Schizosaccharomyces pombe: one gene and its partner. The protein of the gene in region 2 purifies or fractionates together with the protein of the main gene of each other region. This does not show direct contact. Each region holds a gene or a part of one and is shown on either strand. Other genes may lie near its edges.

What was found. The genes of interacting proteins can lie anywhere in the genome.
Region 1: the proteins of erh1 (region 2) and pabp purify together in Schizosaccharomyces pombe (affinity purification with mass spectrometry, with the first as the bait; one study listed by BioGRID). This does not show direct contact.

Annotation. Positions count from the first base shown.
Region 1 is NC_003424.3:1,540,981-1,545,781, reverse strand, and holds pabp (major poly(A) binding protein Pabp/Pab1), read right to left. Parts: upstream 2,997-4,801; 5' UTR 2,918-2,996; coding exon 956-2,917; 3' UTR 561-955; downstream 1-560. Other genes in the region: SPOM_SPAC57A7.15C (uncharacterized protein), read left to right, coding at 1-121, 174-434. UniProt on the Schizosaccharomyces pombe protein: Binds the poly(A) tail of mRNA. Appears to be an important mediator of the multiple roles of the poly(A) tail in mRNA biogenesis, stability and translation. In the nucleus, involved in both mRNA cleavage and polyadenylation.
Region 2 is NC_003424.3:4,062,290-4,069,757, forward strand, and holds erh1 (protein erh1), read right to left. Parts: upstream 4,683-7,468; coding exon 4,654-4,682; intron 4,570-4,653; coding exon 4,548-4,569; intron 4,530-4,547; exon of another isoform or gene 4,497-4,529; coding exon 4,439-4,496; exon of another isoform or gene 4,364-4,438; coding exon 4,334-4,363; exon of another isoform or gene 4,203-4,333; coding exon 4,098-4,202; exon of another isoform or gene 4,040-4,097; coding exon 3,969-4,039; downstream 1-3,968. Other genes in the region: cpy1 (vacuolar carboxypeptidase Y), read right to left, coding at 1-2,229; ubiquinone biosynthesis protein Coq9, read left to right, coding at 5,145-5,897; decaprenyl diphosphate synthase subunit 2 Dlp1, read left to right, coding at 6,467-7,351.

The DNA of each region.
Region 1 (4,801 bases), 2.5 Mb from region 2:
AGCAACACTTGCAATTGGAATAGGAACAACACTTTACGTTCTATTTAAGGATCTGGTTCGGGACCAAGAAGCAAAAAGTGAATCAAAATCAAGAAAGAAAGTTATGATTCTAGTGGATGAGGTAAATATGTTAAACATAATTTGCTAATTATTTGATTATTAACTTTTATTAGACCACTAGTGAAGAGGATATTAAAAAATGGAGTGACTACGATCTTTTCCTTGCTTCCCGTTCTACTTTGCTTTCAAAACATACCTCCCGATTAGAAAGTTATGTTTCTCATCCTTCTAAAGCTCTTCGGTGTGATGACCCTGATAGTATTCTCACATTCCTAAAACATCTAGATATTAATATCTTGGTTTGGAATGCTCATTGGTCATCTGAACGTTTAAAAACTCAATGTGAAAACCTTGTTTACATTTTAGTGGAATAAATAAAACGTGTTGAACATTTACAAATATTTGTGACATTATTATTTAAGTACCGACTAGTAAAAATGACTGGACTATAAATACTGGCTCTCCCACAAGTACATGTTTTCAAAAGCAAACTACATGATGAAACACAATATTATCAAATTTGTCAAAACTCAAAGCGCCATAGATATTAGTATCTAAAATTAACCCAAAAAAAGCAAAGCATTCAATAATCTACTGAAATCTAATCTTAACTTGAAAGATTTCTACTGATTTACAGTAATAAACAAAACGACTCGCCTGTGAAGCAATATATCAATTCAATATAAATTATCCAACCGGATTTTGCATTTCAAGAAACTATAGGCTAAGTGGAACAAAGGTCCTCGAAAAAAAAACATAAAATGCAAAATAATATCCCTGTGAAACGAATAAACACCCATTCGTCAAGATAAAAGTAAATAAACTATACTAAATTTCCAACAGGCTTAACCCTTATTTCTTCCAATAGTGAAAACTTTCATAGAAATGTCATTCACTACTCAGTGAAGCCAGGCTCTTGATCAACGAATTCTTGCAAAACCCCAATAGCTTCGTTGACTCTTTCATTAAGAGCGGAGTCATCCTCAAGTAACTCCAATAACTCGGAATTAGGCATCTCCAACAACATACCGGTAATTTTACCAGAGAGTTTTTCCTCACGAACGAAAACCTTAGGGTAAAGAAGCTCACCAAGGACCTGCTTCCTGCTTTCCTCTGGAACGGCAGCCAAATCAGCAGCCGTGAATCTTTCAGGCATGCCAGGGACTGCGGGAACAGCTTCAGCTTCAGCAGGACCAGCAGAAGGAACGGAACCAGGCATCATCATAGGACGGCCTTGAGCGGGGACGGGACCGCGAGCGTTCATACCGGGATAGCCAGGGGCGGGACCTCCAGCAGGGAACTGAGTGGGCATGCCAGGATACATAGGCATAGGGCCATTATGTCCAGGAACCATAGGCATACCACGACCATTGACGGCAGCAGGAATAGGATAACCACCAGGACCGTAAATAAGAGGACCAGTGGCACCATATTGAACAGCGGGAATGCCGGCAGCAGCGGCAACTTGTTGTTGTAAACGGAATTGGTTACGCGCCTGGATTTGAGCCTCCAACTGACTACGGCGAACCTCCTTACGTTGAGCCAAAGCAACGTAAAGGGGCTTACCAGCAAGCATACGCTGGTTCATCTCAGTAACAGCCTTGTTGGCCTCCTCAGGAGTGGTGTAGCAAACGAAACCGAAACCCTTAGACTTGCCTTGCTCATCGGTCATGATCTTGGCAGAAGTGATGGTTCCAAAGGCAGAAAATTCAGCCTTAAGACGCTCATCGTCAACCTCGTCCTGCAAGTTTTTAATGAACAAATTGACACCTTGATATTTGTTCATCTTCTCAAGCTTCATTTGTTCATAACGCTTACGAAGCTCCTCTTCGCGCTCATGCTTCTTTTGAGCACGACCAACATAAAGCTTCTTACCCTTGTACTCCTTGTCGTTGAGCTCATCAACGGCCTTTTGAGCACATTCGTGGTTGGCATAGTTGACGAAACCAAAACCACGAGGTTTGTCATTCTGATCCTTGACAAGAGAGAGAGAGGTGATCTCACCGAATTGACCAAAGAGGTCGGAGAACTCTTGTTCGGTAATTTCGGTGTCAAGGTTCTTAATGTAGACGTTGGTAAAGTTTGCCTTCAAAGCCTCAACCTTGGATTGACGCTCACGGCGGCTAACATGATGACCGACATAAACCTTTTTGTCGTTCAAAAGCATGCCATTGACATGCTCGATAGCAGCATTGGCAGACTCGACCGAGTCAAAATGCACAAAACCGTAACCTTTAGCATTACCTAACTCATCAACAGCAACCTTGCAGGACAAAATCTTACCAAAGGCGGAGAAAGTGTCGTGTAAAGCCTTGTTGTCGATGGCAGGATCCAAGTTTTTGATGAAAACGTTACCAGTACCCATTTTACGCAAGGATGGGTCACGTTGAGACCACATGATGCGGCAAGGACGTCCTTTGATGAGAGTATAGTTAAGCTCATCCAAGGCCTTCTCACCATCTTCCATATTGTGGAAGTTGACATAGGCATAACCCAAAGAACGGCGAGTAACGGCATCACGGCAAACACGAATACTTGCAACGGGTCCAATACTGTTAAACAGCTCAAAAAGCATAGCCTCAGTGACGGAGGGATCGAGCTCACCAACGTACAAGGAAGCACTGGTGGGAGCAGTGCCAGAGGGAGTGGCAACCGAACTAGCATTAGTAGGGGTAGAGGTAGACTCGGAGGGTTCGGCAGCGGCTTCAGGCTCCTCTGCCTTCTTCTCGGGTTGAGTTTCGGTGGAAGGAGTGTTGGAAGACTCCTCCTTGGTAGAAGACTCAACAGCCTCGTTGTTGGTATTTACATCGCTCTCAACGGCGGCATCAGCTTGCTTCTTAAGATCCGTGGAAGGCATGGCGTTTTCAGAATTTTAAAAACTTGGGCTTTTATGATATTTTTCGAGATTTTTTTAAATTTATAGGTTTTGTGGTTTGCGAAGGAAGGAATGTGTGGTGGGCGAAAATTTAAATCACAGCACTGTACTCCGGTATCTTGAACTCCGAAAGAAAACCCAACTTAATAAATAAAATGTGAGTACACTACGTAAAGTAAGGCAGAAATCAAAGAATTACCATAAAAGAAAAGGCAAAAGAAAACAAAGGAAAAGGCGAAAAAATTTTTGGAAGGAAAAAATATGGAATTGCAGTGCAAGAGTGCTTGTTTAAATTTTGGGGAAAATTTCGATGAGATGGGGATTTCCTTTCTACCAAAACAAACAAGGAATCTCAACGAAATGTCGTAAATATACTTTAATAAATGAGTTTCTACAACTACAGTATAAGGAATAGATTTGGTATGTGATATCGGCACACTAAATAGGTTATTTGAGACACGCACAAATGGTAGGCAAAAGAGTAAAAGGAGGTGAAATTCCGAACAAAGAAAGCACAGGGATTAGGATAGACGTGTCATAAAAGCAAAACAAAGAGTGGAATTTTACGGGACAATGTATGTGAAATTTTATGTTGGCAGGACGACAGAGTATTATAGGAACTTGACTATGCATATGGTTCAATTGAACAAACAGATAAATCGTAGAAAGATTATGAATGTGTGTATAAAAAATCAATTGGGTGGTAGAGAATAAGTTGGAAATTTTTATTGCAATTGCTTTTAATTTTGTTTTGTTTTGATTTCTTTTCTTTTCTCTCTTTTTTTGTAACTAGACTATAACTGAAAAAGACTATCGAAACAGTGTTGGAACGAGATACATAAAACCAAGTTGTTTACATATACGATTATGATCATGAGACGACATTGAGTACGCTATTATTTATTTTTTTGCCTTGTTTTCCTCTTATAACTCGTTATGTCGCATTTCGCATCTCTCTCATCGCCAAAATCTTGAAACTCAATTTAACACATTTTACCGTGCTTACGCTATTTACAGCATATCGAAAAGCGACGACAACTTTGCGCAGTACGGAAATTTAAGCTTGAATGTGTCGAATATGGATTTGCATGGGCGACACAAGCGCCCTTTATCGTATATGGGGACAGTAAGCGCAGATGATGTAAAAATGGAAGTGAGTGACAAAGTTGGGGGGACGAGGGGATAGGAAATCATGAGGAAGTTTAGCGCTATCCAAGGCACCCCAATAACCCTTCCATGGACGTAAAGGTATGGGTAAGAGCCGAGCGTGATGGCAAGTGTAAAAGATAGCAGGAGATAGATTATGGGAGAAAAAGAAAATGAGGACGAGCAATTTATAAGCGGTTAAAAAAAAAAAAAAAAAAAAAAAAAAAACTGTCTCAGTAAGCAATGGCGGATATATATAACCGAAAAAGGGTAGATAAAAAGGAAAAGGACAGGAGAAAACGAAATGGGCAGAAGCGAGAGCCAAAAGTGGCCGAATGGAAAAGTGGGTTAGGGAAGAGGAAGAAGGGTTTCCGTACTAGTACCTTAGTTACTTGTGAGTAATGAGTCACTAATAATAATAAAAAAAAAAGTAGCGCTCGAATCGGTATTGGAATTGAAAGTGTTGCGCTTTTTTGAGGCAATGTCTCAACCAATCGTACCAAACTCTCAATAATTTTCAAGTATACGAACTATATCACTTTGTAATGATACAAGCAAAGTAAAAAGGGAAAAAATAGTAGAGTATTGAAAAATAGACTATATACATGGTTTGTATTTTTATTCATATTCACTACATCTGTTCAATTACAACCAAAAATCATTAAACCCTCCTTCTTTTAACTACAGTGCTGCAAGATCCCCTCTTGTCATTCATCTCTT
Region 2 (7,468 bases):
ATAGCCGCTGGCAACAAAGAAGTTAGCACCTTGGTTATGCTCCATAATTTCCTTGGCAAACTGGGGGATGTAATGGCCAGCATAGGATTCACCAGCAATGTGAAAGTCCAAATGAGCGTACTGAGGGAACTTGGCAAAGAAAAGGTTCAAGAATGCATAAACATCCTTACCAGCCGTAACAGTGTCAAGAACCGAGTCATCTCCGTTGCTGAAACCCGTGTTGATAGGTTGATCCAAAAAGATAACTGAAGCATTGGAGTTCCAACTGTGAGGGTTATATTCGGGTTTAAGAGTCTCAATGTTGATTGAAGAAGGACCTAATTCCATGAACAAACCAGTAAGGGAAGAGCAACCAGGACCACCGTTCAACCACAACACGACGGGATCATTCTCGGGATCATTTCTAGATTCAAAGAACCAGAAGAAAAGATGTCTGTCATCTTCGACATCTAAGTAACCGGTGTATTGCTTAACAGTGTCAATACCAAGTGATTCAGGTTTGGAATCTTTAACGCGAAGAGTGTGATCAGGGAAAGCCTTTAAATTTACATGTTCACCATTCTCTTCTTGTGAAAAAACAGCGTAGGGACGTGAAGAATCAGCAGGTTGAGCATTAGATGGCTTAGCAGGATGACTCTGGTCACGGAAAGCAGTCATAGGATCAATACCTTCAGCCTTGAGCATTTCAAGGTAGGCAAATTGTTCAGGAGTGAGATCACTCAACTCCAAATCATCGTCGAATTCAAATAGGGGGGGAATTGATGAATCCTTTGGGGCATTTTCTTGAATATGTACAGGAATGTTACCATAGTATTCAATACCAAGAGTGTCTAAAAAGCGAGAAAACTCTTCGGCAATTTCTTCAACAGGAACAGAATTGATGAGGTCAGCGAAAGCCTCAATGACCAAAAGCTCATGAGAACTTTGCATGTTTTGCTCAGGACGTTCGTTGTGCTTCTCCTTAGGTCCTTGATGGTGCTCCTTGTCCTTAGGTCCCTTGTGGTGCTCCTTGTCCTTAGGTCCCTTGTGGTGCTCCTTATCCTTAGGTCCCTTATGGTGCTCCTTATCCTTAGGTCCCTTATGGTGCTCCTTATCCTTAGGTCCCTTATGGTGCTCCTTATCCTTGGGTCCCTTATGGTGTTCCTTGTCCTCAGGTCCACGATGATGCTCAGGACCTTCATGCTCCTCAAGCTCATGGTGTTTGAAAGGAGGAGGAGGCATGTGCTCTCCAGGCTCGTGATGCATAGGAGGAGGAGGCATGTGCTCTCCAGGCTCGTGATGCATAGGAGGAGGAGGCATGTGCTCTCCAGGTTCGTGGTGCATAGGAGGAGGAGGCATGTGCTCTCCAGGTTCGTGGTGCATAGGAGGAGGAGGCATGTGCTCTCCAGGCTCGTGATGCATAGGAGGAGGAGGCATGTGCTCTCCAGGTTCGTGGTGCATAGGAGGAGGAGGCATGTGCTCTCCAGGTTCGTGGTGCATAGGAGGAGGAGGCATGTGCTCTCCAGGTTCGTGGTGCATAGGAGGAGGAGGCATGTGCTCTCCAGGTTCGTGGTGCATAGGAGGAGGAGGCATGTGCTCACCGGGCTTGTGGTGCATAGGAGGAGGAGGCATGTGCTCACCAGGCTCGTGATGAGCAGGGAACTCTCGATCCTCATCGTCAAATTCATGATGCTTGGGACGCTCGTCATCAAAGAAAACAGAGTCATCCTCGGGTTTAGGGTGAGACTTCTTTCCCTTTCCCTTAGCATGTTTACCCTTATGGTGCTTTCCTTTTCCTTTGCATTTACCGTGCTTTCTGCGGGGAGCATCCTCATCAGCTGAGTCATGAGGGCGCTTCTCGCGAACGTGTTCATCCTCATCATCGTCAAAGATATTGTCGAGACGATCAGAAACGGTGTGAAGGAAATCACGAGCAGGCTGAAGGAAAGAGTCAAGCTTGTCTTTAAATCCAGGGTGTTCTAAGGCAGTATCATCTTCAAAGTCATCATTAAACTCGTGATGACCCTTGGGGTGATGAGGAGCCTCAGCTTCATCACGCTCGGGAACGGGATTCATAAGAGGAGCAGAGCTTTCCTCTTGCTCACGGATGAAATCCTCCCCAAATTTCTCGTAAAAATCTTTGGGAACGACGATATCACCACCATTTTGCTCAGGAGGAACATAACCGTTAAACTGAGCGGATACGACGCAAGTGAGCAAAAAGTACAAGAAGGTTTGTTTCATTAACATCTTGTTTCAATGTACAGTATAGAAAGGAGAGAAACAAAAGGAAATGAAATATTCGTACAACAAGCTAACCAAATAGACCGAACTTCTCAAACAATCAATTGATAGATACAAATCTGTATGTACTGGATTAAAAAAGAAATTGCAAATTAGCCAAATCAGATAACTGTTAGGCAAAATGAGCTATATGGATAGATTAAAAAGAAAAATAAACAATGAGAAAAAGAATGTATTTAACTCAATGTCGATTGCGAAGCCTCACGTCTTACAGTGTGATTACAAGCACTAAAGGCAATGTGGATATCGCAATAAATAACTAGACAGAAAACCACAAAAAGTAGCAAATTCTTAAACAAACGTATTTACGATCGTTTTGCTGCTTTTCCCTCTTCAGATCACTTTACTGGTTCTAGGGTTCGATGGCGTTAATGTGTGCTTGGTTAAGGAGAAAAGTAAGCGGCAGGCAACAATCGCTATATATATGAAGGGTTAAGCATAAGTCCAGAAGCGTGACGCAGACGCCTCGCATGAATCATCATGTTCTAAGCCCCTTCGCAATCCTCCTTAGATATCGCTGCAAATACTTTACAATGTCTTTATACGCTAATAACGAAATATAATGAAAAAAGTAGCTTCGCTTGCAGTTAGCAAACAGGAAAATCACATCTGATAATATTTATTAAACAAAAAGAAAGGTAAACATGTGGATCAAGTTATTCTTAGTTGAATTATTGGATTCAATTAAACCTTAAACAGACAGTATAAAATATAAAAACACGCTCTTGTTATTAATTGTTTTGCAGTCATCAAGTACTTGACTAACTCTTTGCAGAAGCAATGGATATTTATCTTTGGAGAGTAAAATTGAGAAGCAAAGTACACAAAACTCAAGGTAGCAAATCTATAATGCCTAGACAATTATCTTGTATTGCTAGTTTGTGAAACAATGAATATGCATTCGCTTTATTGTGACTAATTCGTCCTGGTACGAATTGAAAAAGTAACTGGCCAAGCGGTTTCCGTGACAAAAATGGGTCAAAATACACAACATTATGTGATTTAGCTCCACTATACTAGGGCTATTCTTCTATAACCCGAGAACGTTGCTCGGCAAGTATACCGACATGATATATATACCTTATAATGTGTAGCAAAACTGGAAGGAGCGAGGGCGAAGATGAAAGCGATACAAAAAAAAACTATAAATAAATATATATATATAAAGAAATGTCAGCAAAGATCGAGTGTCTAGCAAGTACAAAAGTTTGTTTCTTCCGGTTTGACTACTTCAAACGAGGGCTTAGAAGTGGCTATGCTGTTTGTTTTACAGTTTCCCAGCACTGGAAATTAAAAAAAAGGGCAAAACAATACAATAGCGGCTGGCAAAACGGATGGAATTGGTCCTTTGTCTTGCACGAGGAAAAAACATGACAAGTAAAAAAAAAATTTGCAATTGGGTTTAAAAGTTAAGAGACAAATGCCATTTATTAGAACAATTAAATTTTATAAAAAAAGAATAGAAAAATAATTGTTAAAGATAGAATATAGCTAATGCATGATACAATAGAATTTGAACCTCTTAGAATATTGGTTGCTGATTCCAAAGGTGAAAAGCAGCTGCTAAAATGCCATTCCTAGTGCATTGATAAAGATTTTAATTTAGAAAAACTTAGTTCTATTTTTTCTTTGATTTTGAAATTTAAAGCATAGCAATGAGTAGCATAATATGGTGTTCGATATTTTTAAGGGATCTGTCTAGCAGCTGTGAGATATTCTTGAGCATGGTGTAACAACCATTGCTTTTCATGGGGAACTAATAGTAGAATTTATTAGTATCAAAATCAAACTGATAAATGAGAGAAACTGCTTACTATATGCACGAAAATGCCGATCGTATACCAAAGGAACGCAATCATAGATCTCGTCGAAAAAGTTGAAAAACCTTGAGACATCAATAGATTCCTTTTCGCTGACTGCTAAACATAAACGTCAGTCTAATGCAAGTTTTCATACGGTAAAGCTGAGTTTTCAATCCGGGACTTGGGAAAACATAGTTCATCGTCACTGAAATTTCCAACCAAAAAAGAAAAACAAAAATCGTACGTACCTTGATTTGTTTGGTAAACACCGACTATATCTAATATCACGTTAACAAATGATTTCCAATAAGTAGCGCATCCTCTACAAGGAGGACGAAAGATAATATTCATACACTCAATAGCAGAACGCAAGCTGCAATGGTCGCTCCATATACGAGTTTTTGGATCCGACTGATTAGGAGTTAGTGAAATCTTTAATTATCCTACAATCTAATGACATACTCCTTGTTGTATTAATAAAATGCTGTAAGCAAAATCTAGTTAGCGAATAGCCCTTGCATAGTGTACATAAGTGTCTTGAAGCTTTTCTGGCATTCGGGGAACATACATATGAGATTCTGCTGGTGGAGGCGACATTACGAGCCAAGTATTTTGAAGTATCTTCTGTTTTTATCGAGCAAGGATTAAGACCGCCTCTCAAACACACCGTCTAGCTTAATATCACCCTATTTTTATTTTCAATTTATCTGTTTGAAAATTATTTGCTATTGTCACACAAATTATTGTCAGAACGACTCTTTGTACTTTCAGGTGGGTAGCACAGTTATTGAGTAGCGATTTCGCTTTCCTTCTACAGTAGCATCCGTCACGCACTCTATCAGTTCGTTTACTTTGCAGTTCTCACAATTTAATATACTTCAAATATTATAATTATTTTTAGAAGTCATCTTCCAATCTTACTATATACTTTATCTAACTCGCTGATTTGAATAACTCGTAACACCTCTTTACCCATATCTCTTTCCTTCGAATTGCTTAGTGAAAGACCCTTTCTTTCTATTTTGTTTATTTTTCTGACTCTTTTTTTTATTTCTTTACATGTTGACTTTAAGAAGTGCTTGTCAGTTGACAACAAAAAACCTGGGACTTCATAAATGCATCTCCAAAACGGTCATTTCCGCTCTAGGAAGGAGAGGCTATCATAGTGAAAATTACGAAACCTCTAAGATATCCGGAAAGAAGGCTTTAATTTTAGAAAATGCTCTTGAACATGTTCCTCAACTGGGGTTCACGGAAGATGCAATCGTGCAAGGTGGTCAGGCCCTTGGCTATAGTAATCTCTCCAAGGCCCTCTTTCCTTCTGGTCCAATGGATTTGATTTCGTACTTTTTCCTGAAGCAGCGCTACGCTCTTAGTTCATTAAAGCCTCATTTGACCACTATCCCCGAAACATCTGGACGTGTTGTCCAGCTTATTTGGTCTCGTCTGCAAGGAAATAGGGATATTGTTCAGCATCTTCCGCAGATGATTGCAATTTGTACATACCCTTCAAACTTGCGAAAATCATTATCCTCTCTGGCTGAACTGTCAGATGAGATTCTTTACCTCGCGCAAGATAAGTCAGCCGATTTTCAATGGTACACGAAACGTGCTGCTATCTCTGCCATTTACTCTGCATCTGAGTTATTTATGAGTCGTGATACTTCTCCTAATTTTGAGGCGACTTATAACTTTGTTCAACATCGCATTCAACATGCAAAAGCCTTAAATGACTTACGCAACGATGTCTTGGAATGGGGTTCCTTTCAGCTGAATGCTGTGAGATCAATCCTTCGTTCAAGGGGAATTTAAAATTCACTGCTACTCCTTTTGCTTGTTGGTTTAACAAATCAGCTTGATTCAACTTTACGTTATGCAAGAAATAAATGCAATTTCATTTCCTACAATATTTAAGTTTTTTTGGCTAATTGTTTTCTCCATATATCGGTAGTTATTGTTGAATGTACTCTTTGATTCGAAACTTCATTTGAACAGTGTTTACCTTAAAAAAATCTATAGAAAAATCCTTATATATTCACGGGTTGATAACAAATTAACTTCAGTAAAACATTTAATAGAAACACACACTTTGACTAATGCTACCTTTACTACTTGTATATTCTGTTTTTTTACTACCTTGAACTTACTATTCTGACTCTTCCTGAGGTAACCTGTGACTTTGAAATAATTAGCTAAAACTGACAAGACACAGGCGTAGTTAAAGAACTCCAAAAATGAAAACATAGTAGCAATCAAAGCATCCCACTATTTTTTGTCTCTCGTTTCATTAGCGTTGTAAATTACTGATACCCTACTATACCTCTACAAGGCCTTTGTCATCTTTTTACTCAAGTGTGAAATCATCACTTATTGTATGAAGGATGAGCTTTCCGTTCGCTAGTTTGCTGAAAAGGCCTTCTGCAATAAGCTCTCTATTATCTTTAAAAAAACCTGGTTCCTGGTCTTCCATTCTGCTAAAAGCTGTAGGGGTTTTATCACGAGATTCCCGTTGGCATTCTGACTTATTAAAAATGCTTACAGAAGAAATGGATTCTTTAAATGGTCAAATTAATACGTGGACAGATAATAATCCTTTATTAGATGAAATTACGAAGCCATACAGAAAATCTTCAACTCGTTTTTTTCATCCGCTTCTTGTACTTCTAATGTCTAGAGCATCAGTAAATGGGGATCCACCGAGTCAGCAACTATTTCAAAGGTACAAACAACTTGCCCGTGTAACAGAATTGATTCATGCTGCCAATATAATTCATATTAATATTGGAGAAGAACAAAGCAACGAACAGATTAAACTTGCAACGTTGGTTGGAGATTATTTACTCGGAAAGGCGTCTGTTGATTTAGCACATTTAGAAAACAACGCTATTACAGAAATTATGGCTTCTGTTATTGCAAACTTAGTTGAAGGGCACTTCGGAAGCCGACAAAATGGCTCTGTTGGTTTGTCAAACGAACGAACCATCCTTCTGCAATCAGCCTTTATGCCAGCAAAGGCATGTTTATGCGCAAGCATATTGAATAACTCATCACAATACATTAATGATGCGTGTTTCAATTATGGAAAATTTCTAGGCTTATCGCTGCAACTGGCCCATAAGCCTGTATCTCCTGACGCCCAAGTTTTGCAAAAGAATAATGACATTTTGAAAACATATGTTGAGAATGCCAAGAGCTCATTGTCTGTTTTCCCCGATATAGAGGCTAAGCAAGCTCTCATGGAAATCGCTAATAGTGTTTCGAAGTAATCGACAGGTATTGTATCCTGGATTAATATTAGGGTGGCTCATGCATGCTCGTGCAATCGTAACAAATATGTCTTTCTTTTACGAATTTTAACGCTTCAATATAAATCATATTTTTCC